Macaca mulatta: one gene and its partner. The protein of the gene in region 1 interacts with the protein of each later gene in a pairwise test. Links are inferred from orthologs where the notes say so. Each region holds a gene or a part of one and is shown on either strand. Other genes may lie near its edges. The genes, in order: AQP2 and ERG28.

Region 1 (4,539 bases):
GACCCTGGTGCAATGAGAGGCCCGTGGTCTGTCTTCCTGAGGTCAAATGGCTCCCAGGGACAGGACTTGGGTCTAGGGGATGGTCCTAGTGTGCCCCTTTCTGCTATGAGTCCGCCATACACCTTTTTCCTTAACCCTTGTCTATTCTCCACTGCCTTTCAGGCCTCAGCTTTGCCCTGTTGGTTTGCTCCCTGCACATCCTATGGAGGTTGGGGTGAGGGCCCCGGAGCTGTGTCGGACAATGCCTCCACACCCATGTAGGTTGCCCATGGTCTCAGCAGACCCTGCCTTGGGTAAGGAGAGAACTCGGGGCTGAGTAAAGAGGTGATTTCATAACTGGGCCACACCCAGCACTGGATTTCTCCTTGGGTTTTGTCACCCTGTGCCCTACGCCCTGCCTTCTGGGACTGGGCACCATGCTGGGTGGAACAGTGACAGCTCTCAGCTCCCACGCTCTTTCTCCAGGCCCTGAACCCCCACCCCTGGGTCCGAGACATCAGGTCAGAACCCTTGGGTCTCTCTAGGGTCTAACCTCAATCCCTTCTGTTGTTGTCCAATGCAGAGTCTCTAGAGGACAGTGAAAAGAGCTTTGGAAGCAGACACTTTAGAGGCCTCTGACTTGCCATGAGACTATTTAATTTGGCCTCAGTTTCTCCTTCTGCGAAATGGGAAAACAAAATGGATTCTGGAGGATGGTGGGAGGACTGGAAATGACTTATTGGTTCTGTGACTTGGATCAATTCACTATTGAGCCTCAATTTGCCACTCACAATAGGGGGGAACCACAGAATTTCCCTTATAGCATTGTACCAATGATGAGATGATAGCTGGCCTGGCACAGGGCAGGTGCATGTCAATGATTAAATTCCTGGTGGCCAGGCTAGCTCTTAGTGTCCTCAAAGGACACATGGGATGGTCTTGAGGATCATCTGGCTCTCTTTAGCCTCAGGGTAAGTTGGTCCCACCACTGCCCCATTACATCCAGGCAGGGTTCTCCCCAGGTCCTCAAGGTAGTAAATGCTGAGAAGTGGCATGGAGGAGTCCTCCCAGACCTTTCTCTTCTGAGGGCCCCAGTCAGTTGTGAAATGATGGAGGAGGAGGACTGCATGTTTCCCATGGCCTCTCACTCCCAGTGCCCTGCTATTACAGAAGAACTTCCTGGTCATGCTCTCAGGAAGTTCCTTTTTCAGTCTAACTGGACCTCTTCTTGCTGTAAACTGAACTAATTTTGTTCTCAGAGGAAAAGAGCCCACTCCTCTGCTTGCCCACCTAGCCTGTCCTTGGCCCCTGGCCCCCAACCTTGTCACAATTTCATCTTTAAAGAACAGAGCCTTGGTGTGGTGGCTCATACCTGTAATCCTAGCACTTTGGGAGGTGGAGACGGGTGGATCACTTGAGGTTAGGAGTTCGAAACCAGCCTTACCAACATGGTGAACCCTGTCTCTACTAAAAATACAAAAATTAGCTGGGTATGGTGGCACATGCCTGTAATCCCAGCTACTCGGGAGGCTGAGGCAAGCGAATGACTTGAGGTGGAGGTTGCAGTGAGCTGAGATTGTACCATTGTACTCCAGCCTGGGCAACAGAATGAGACTCCATCTCAAAAACAAAACAAAACAGAGAAGTTCCCTAACTGGGATACCCCTGTCCCACAAATGAGGAAGGGCTGCCTGTGCAGAGACGCGGGCGGCCACAGAGATTGTGCAGGACTTGTCAGAGACATCAGGACTCTTGTCCAGTGGCCCAGGGATGGAACAGGCCAGGAAATGCTGGAGACTGAGGCACAAAAGAGGCACTTGCTGTCCTGGCTTAGGATGGGGGTACAGAGTGAGAGTTGGTCTGTTGGGAGCACAGGTCGTTCCTCCACACTCATGTCTCTTGGATTCACAGGGCCCACACAGACCTGAGAGGGGAAGGGGGTGGGACATGGGGGAAGGGACTGTGGCACCACCCTCAGCTCCCGAAGGGCCCACGGGGCCCAGTTAGCACCTGTATCATGTAATCAGCAGCCAGCTTATGGGCTCCGGGGACCTCGTCAGGGTTTGGAGAAGGAAGTATGCCCATTGCTGCTTGTAGGGCTATGGTGTGTCTGAGCCTGACCTGTAAGGAGCACCTGCCATAGGGCCTGCAAACCCTCAAAGCAGAAGAAAGGCTGGGCCCCTCTTCTCTCTTGAGGACCCTGTCATGAGCACTCCAAGGCTCCCCGCAGCTTGGAAAGCATGTCTGCTTGGGACACTAACCCCTGCTGAGTTACAGCCTGGTCCTCACTATAACGGAGGCACTGAGTCCAACAGAAACCCAGATGAGGCTTTTCCTGCACGACGGTCAGGGTGGAAGAAGCCTGCAGTCTGTCTGCATCCTGCCTTTGCTCTGGTACCATTGCTCCTTTCATCCTGACCCTCCTATGGTGGCTATGTTCCTGACTCCAGGCTCTGTCTCTCTCTGTCTGTCTGCCTCTGTCTCCATCTCTCTCCCCACCTCACCCAGAGCCCTTCCCTCCCATCTCATCCCTTACAAGGGATTCCCCAGGATCTGCCCCTTGTGGATGGCAAAGTTGTGGCTACTTACAGCATTGACAGCCAGGTCCCCGCGGATGTCTGCTGGCGTGATCTCATGGAGCAGAGCGGCTCCGGCCACAGCCCCCAGCAGCTGGGCAGCCACGTAGAAGGTGGCTCGGAGAAAGGAGACATGGCAGCCCACCAGGCAGGCCACAGTCACGGCTGGATTGATGTGGGCCCCGCTTATGTGGCCCAGAGCCTGTACCAGGGTGCCAATACCCAAGCCAAATGCCATGGCGATCTGTAGCACAGAGGGCAGGGCCTGTGGCCAGTTGAGGGCCGAGCCGAGGCCAAAGAAGACGAAGAGGAGTGTGGCCAGGAACTCTGCAAACACAGCCCTGGAGAAGGCTATGGAGCGGAGCTCCCACATGCTGCGGAGTCCTGCGTGGCTGGCCCGGCCGTCTCAGGGCCAGGAGGCTCTGGGCACTCTCTTTCGCTCTCTACCGCTCTCTTTCTCAAGGCCTCTGGGGAGGCTGGGTTGTGGGCATTTATAGGGTACTTCCATCCCGGATCTGGGCACGTGGTGGGGAGGTGGAGTCGTTGAGGCCAATACCTCTTCTCCATGGCGGCCTCTGCCCCCATGCCCCATCCCAGCCCACCCACGTGCCTATCACCCTATCTTAGCCTTCACAGCTGACTGATGTTCCCCATTTAATGAGCTCCAGATAAGGACTGACGTCCCTGGTTTTCCGTGTTTGTTCCCTTGGTTACCCCAGGGCTGCTGCCCCAGGGCCTCTCCCAGCCCCCACGGGGTCTTGTGAATGGGAACCTCTGGTGGGGATTGTGCCCAGTGCCCCTCTCTCTGACTCGAACTGTTGACCAAGGCAGGGGCAATACCTCACACAAAACTAAGAGTGTGTGAGTGCTGCTCCTTCTGGTAACTGGGAAGTTCTTCTGTCAGACCTCCAATTACTCCTGCTTCACAGGGATGGAAAACAACTGGTTGGCTTGTGACAGATTTCCAGGGCATAAAGGTTTGTGTCTTCTGCGTTTGCATTCTTGCAGCTAATCACCCATAAATCATTAAGCTTCACCTTCTCCTGGGAGCCCCAGCCAAATAGCAGCTCCTAGAGCCTGGGGGCACTGGGACCCTGGCCCTCGGTGATGGAGTCAACCTGGGGGCGGCTGAGGAAGCTGAGGGTGTCCATTCTGGCATCAGCCTGTTCCATCTATGTGACTTAACCTTTCTTGTCTTTCTCTGTAAAATGGGAAGAATAAAACTGACCTAGTGGATTGGGGTTTGGATTGAATGAAACAATGTATGTCAAGTGCTCAGAGCAGCGCCTGGTCCACAGTAGGTGGTCAATGAATATCAGCCCTTCCTTACAGTATTATTTACACTTTGAGGAGAACAGGTCTTTGCACACTCATGTGTTGGGGTCCCAGAAGCTGTGACAGGTCCTAGGAACCCCGAGGAGCTTAGGGCCACTCTGGCCACAGGAGAAAGACATTTCTGTGGGGCAGTGAGCTGTGCAGGCTCGGGGCGGCTATGATGGCTGATAAGCAGCTCTCTGGCCTTGGTGCCCACTCAGCCCAGCATCTGGGCAGTGCTGCCTCCTGCTATCAATGCCGCTGTGGCTACTGGGGTCCTGGAAGTGTTCAACTCTAGAAGTTTCCCCAGCCCCACTCACTGGCCCTTCCCTAATCCCTCCAGCCTCGCTCCCCCTCCTGGGGATTCACAGCAGGGTTGGGCTCAGAGTGGGGGCAGAAGGATGGGCTTCTGCACCCTGCCCTAGCTCCTGTCCAGCAGGTCCCTGGGCAAGTCACAGTCCCAGCAACAGAAATCTGGGAGAGATTGGAGACTGGAGTGGACCGCTTTATGTTGTATCATGGGGATGTGGGGTGAGTGTAGGCCCGGGGAGGGGAGTGACTCATCTAGGGTGCTCCAGCAGGTTAGTGGCTGAGCTGGGACTGAGCCTGGTCTGGAGCTTTCTGCCACACCCCACACTACCGAGCCACACTCTGTGCCTCAGTTGCCTTG
Region 2 (4,377 bases), on another chromosome or scaffold:
ACACTCCCACATTTAAAGAATAAAACTTATATTCTGCCACAAGGTTTTTTTTCTCCAGCAGCTAGACAAGCACTGGCTTGAGATAAGCAATATTAAAACAATTACAGCTCATCCAGCTCACAGAGGCTGACTACATGACCCCTATTCCACCAGCTATAACTACACCTTTGATTGGACAAGAGACTGATTTTAGTAACTTTCTCCAGATAAGACCACCAACCGTGGACTGCTCCTGGCCAGTTTAGCAAGATCACACACTTGAGTGTCTTGGTGTCCTGAAAAGACTTTTTGACGCATAGAGCCTAGGCGTGATAGACTTAAATGTTAGGTCTCTACTTCAAAGTGAACAGGGGTCATATGTGGTTACACATGATTGTTCAATATGCACGTGTCAGGACCACCTTCAGGAATATTCATAGTTCCTCCTGTAAGCTGTTGAACATGTATGTTTAGCCAACCTGTTCAGCATAAAGCTCTACCCCAAACCCTTCTCCTTCAAAGCACCTGTCTCTGATCTTAGTGGGAGGCACTCTTCCCTGTTGGGTGGCTGTAACCCTTTGCAAGAGATAAAGCCTCTTTTCTTTTTCCAAATTTATAAATTGTGCCTGTTTAAGTTAACGTGTGACTTTAGGACTAGTAAGAAAATTATATAGTGAAGGAAACAGCAATCTTGGTGTTGGGCTGCAAGATAATAATAGGTCACAGTTCACTTACACCATGAACTGTGCCAAGCACCTAACACATATTACCATTTAATCTTCACAATGAGGTAGGCAGGCACTATTAATATTTCCATCTTATAGATGAGGGTTGGAACGGAGAGGTTAAACAAGTTTCTTAAGGTCACACAGCAAAGTCAGCAGAGCTGAGATAAGAATCATGGTCTGTTGGACTGCTGCAGTGCTACCTCACTGTTTGAGACTACTTTAATGAAGTTCCCATTTTTTGATTAAGAAAAGCATACCATATCCTCTTCTGTCTTCAAGTTGTATAGAAAATACAATTAGATTACATACTTTTTATTTTTTAATTTATTATTATTATTATTATTTTGAGACAGGGTCTTGCTCTGTCACACAGGCTGGAGTGCAGTGGCGTGGTCATGGCTCATTGCAGCCTCGAAATCAAAGGCTTAAGTGATCTTCCCACCTCAACCTCTCCACTTGGGCTCAAGTGATCCACTCACCTTGGCCTCGCCTCCCAAAGTGCTGGGATTACAGGTGTGAGCTACAGCACCCAGACTTTTATTTTTTTAAGGCTTAGATCAACTCTTGTTGAGTAGTAATTTCAGTTAGTCTGATTTAAATAAAACCAAAATAGATAAATAATCTAATAATGGAATGGCTTTTTCCCATCCTCATCACTATTTTCTCAGTCTATGGTTTATCTGTTGTCAGGTTAACCTCTTGGGCCTGAAGTGGTAATAAACTAACAGGCTTTCTTTGTCACTTTGGCAATATAAATTTCGGTATTGTTCTATGCTACCCAGTGAGATAGATATTAAAGTCAGCAATGGTCCAAGACAGTGTGAAACACCCTCCCCCCCCCAAAAAAAAAAGCAATAAAGAGATCTAGAGAAGGAAGGGTGAATTGATGAACCCTTCAGGGAGAGCTGATCACAAAGGTGGTCTCTGTCAGAGACTGAGAGTCTACTGGATATCATAGGCCATTATCACTTGGGCCAAGATCCACCTATCCTCTTTATTTTCTCACCCTCTCTCAAGAGGAGACTCCTCCGGGGTTTAGAAAAGCTGCATGAATGCACCTCTCCACTTTTCTGCACAAGTACGCCTTCCATTTCACAGAAGCTCTTAGGAATCCCAACAGATAGCTGATGAGGACAGAACCTGAGTACTTCTGAATTGCTCTGCCAATTTCTCAACCTAATTTCCCTAAAGCTTTAGGGCCTCCTAGAGTGTATATAACATCTATTTCCAAATTTTGTCCTGGCCCTGGCCCAGCCCAGCCAAGCCCAACCCAGCCCAGCCCAGCATAGGTGTGCTGTTAAAACTTAATCAGGAGAGAGGGATTCTTATCTTGGCCCTACCACTTAGTAGCTGTGTGACCCTGGGCAAGTCATTTACACTTTTCAGTCTCGGTTTCCTCATCTGCAAAATGGAGATAGAAATATCAACCCGAAGGGTTATTGTAAGAATCATATGAGAAAAAGTGAAGGCTCTTTGTACAGTGCTAGGCTTATAGTGGCTGCTCATTCGCTCATCCATTCCTTCTTTCCTTGAATTCACCAGCCTTCTCCATCTTCCTAGCTCCCCCTTGTCATCGCCTCTCGAACCCTTTTCCCCCCAAAAGGTTGCCTTCCAGGTATCTTCCTTCCATCTCACCTCTATTTTTCCAGATTCTCCGATCCTCTCAATCAGAAGCAACACAGACACCTACATCCCTCTTCTCCCCCATATTCTCCTTACCTGGCGACCGGACCCCCAGCACAGCAGTGGCAGCAGCAGCCGCCGCAAACAAGCTCCCCCAGGACAGCTCCAGCCCGGAGTCCACCTGAGCCATTTGTCCCCACCCCCTCCCTCAGCCCTGCTCCAGGATTGGGTCGTTTCCTTTAGTCCTCTCTCTGATTGGCTGTCCTGGTTTTGCCCGAGCAGGAGATGGGGAGTGAACCCCTTTACTGCCAATCAGCGGTTGCCGCTGCCTAAGCCTCTCCCCAGGTACGCCGCTCACGCCGTAAACCCTCCTGTTGGACCTAGCGGAACTCCGGGTTTGGAGTCAACCTCTTAGGGGCGGAGAAAAAAACAGCGGAAAAAAAAAAAAAAGACTTTCTGCTGAGGGCAGGGCTCTGCGCCCGCGCTTCGCGGCGGTGACGACATTCGCCCGCGTCCGCAGCTGAGCGTTATCAGCGCCTGCGCAGTGGCTCCCAGCGGGCGGTTGCTTGTTGGTTGTTGTAGTAACCGGGGAAGCGCCGTCGGCGGCTGCCCTGAGCCTTGCTGGGGAAGGAAGAGGGAGGTAGGCGCAGAGCGCGGTCCACGCCTACTCGCCCCGAACCATGGGAAGATGAGACAGGTAAAAGCCTGCGCCAGCGCGCATCCCTACCCTAGGGAGGAGCGTTCCCGGGTCCAGGCTGCAGCTGGCCGCCGCACTTCCCGCTCAGAGCCGGGGAGTAGCTGTTGGCTTCCGGGCGCGCCGCGTTGATTCGCGGCAGCCGAGTGGTCCTGTCCTTTCCGGGGGGAGCATCTGCGGACCTCCGTGGAATTGGGGTGAGCTGGGGTTGGGGCTGAGAAGCAGATTCCTTTAGGGCGAGGAGTGTTCTTAGGCGAATGTCTTTAATCTTCCGATCGACCTGTTTCTCCCCGCTCTGCAGGCAGCCTAGGAAAGGTTGGCATCCCTTCCCGTTTAGAGGTTTTGTTTAAACTTAAAGGACTTCCCAACATTTTGGGAAAGATCAAGAAATCCCCCTTGAGAATCCCCTGAAGAAAGCCATTGAAGTCGTTAGACATTGCCCATTGCGCCGAAGATCATTATCGGGGTCGGTTTTTTTGTTTTTTGTCTGATTTACAGTCTCATCGTATTTATGAATGTATGGAAAAGTTAAGAAGGATTGACAGCAAGTAATTATCGCTGAGTAATGGGATTATGGTCATTTAAACATATTCCTTTTCTTTATTTGTAGTTCCTATTTCTTCTTCTGACACACAAAACGACCATGTACTTTTTACTTTGGAAAAAATATTTTAAGTTAGAAATGCAGTGTTGGAAATTTTCCAATTTTATTGTCTATTTGAGAGTCATATCAAAGTTTGTGATTTTTAGTAAGGAAGAATAATTTTTAAGAGTGGAAGGGCATTCCCCCCTCCCCCCCAACCATTTATATGGACCTTTGATTCAAGAGAATATATTCATCTTTCGGTTCATTGTTGAATTTATTTTACGGGAAACATGATGGCATCTTGTCAGAGTGCTTGTCATAGAGTCTAAATAAATATTTTCAAGGTTTTTTTTTTTTTTTGAGACGGAGTTTTCGCTCTTGTTGCCCAGGCTGGAGTGCAATGGCGCGATCTTGGCTTACTGCAACCTCCGCCTCCCGGGTTCAAGCGATTCTCCTGCCTAAGCCTCCCGAGTATCTGGGATTACAGGAATGAGCCAACACACCTGGCTAATTTTTTTTTTTTTTTTTTTTAGTAAAGATGGGGTTTCTCCATGTTGGTCAGGCCGGTCTCGAACTCCCAACCTGAGGTGATCCGCCCGCCTTGGCCTCCCAAAGTGCTGGGATTACAGGTGTGATCCACCCTGCCCGACCTGCAAGGGTCTTAAACCTTGAGTTTTTATTTATTTATTTTTAACCCAGGCCAGGTTTGTCTAGCAAGGAATATATGTTTTAGGGAATCAGTCACCTGCCTCAGACTGCCCTGAAAG

What was found.
Region 2: the proteins of AQP2 (region 1) and ERG28 interact in binary tests that used the Homo sapiens proteins (3 or more experiments, as listed by UniProt). The link is inferred for Macaca mulatta from reciprocal best matches to the Homo sapiens genes AQP2 and ERG28.

The regions. Positions count from the first base shown.
Region 1 is NC_133416.1:57,123,662-57,128,200, reverse strand, and holds the start of AQP2 (aquaporin-2), read right to left. Parts: upstream 3,014-4,539; 5' UTR 2,929-3,013; coding exon 2,569-2,928; intron 1-2,568. UniProt on the Homo sapiens protein: Forms a water-specific channel that provides the plasma membranes of renal collecting duct with high permeability to water, thereby permitting water to move in the direction of an osmotic gradient. Plays an essential role in renal water homeostasis.
Region 2 is NC_133412.1:148,867,714-148,872,090, forward strand, and holds the start of ERG28 (ergosterol biosynthetic protein 28 homolog), read right to left. Parts: upstream 2,837-4,377; 5' UTR 2,427-2,836; intron 1-2,426.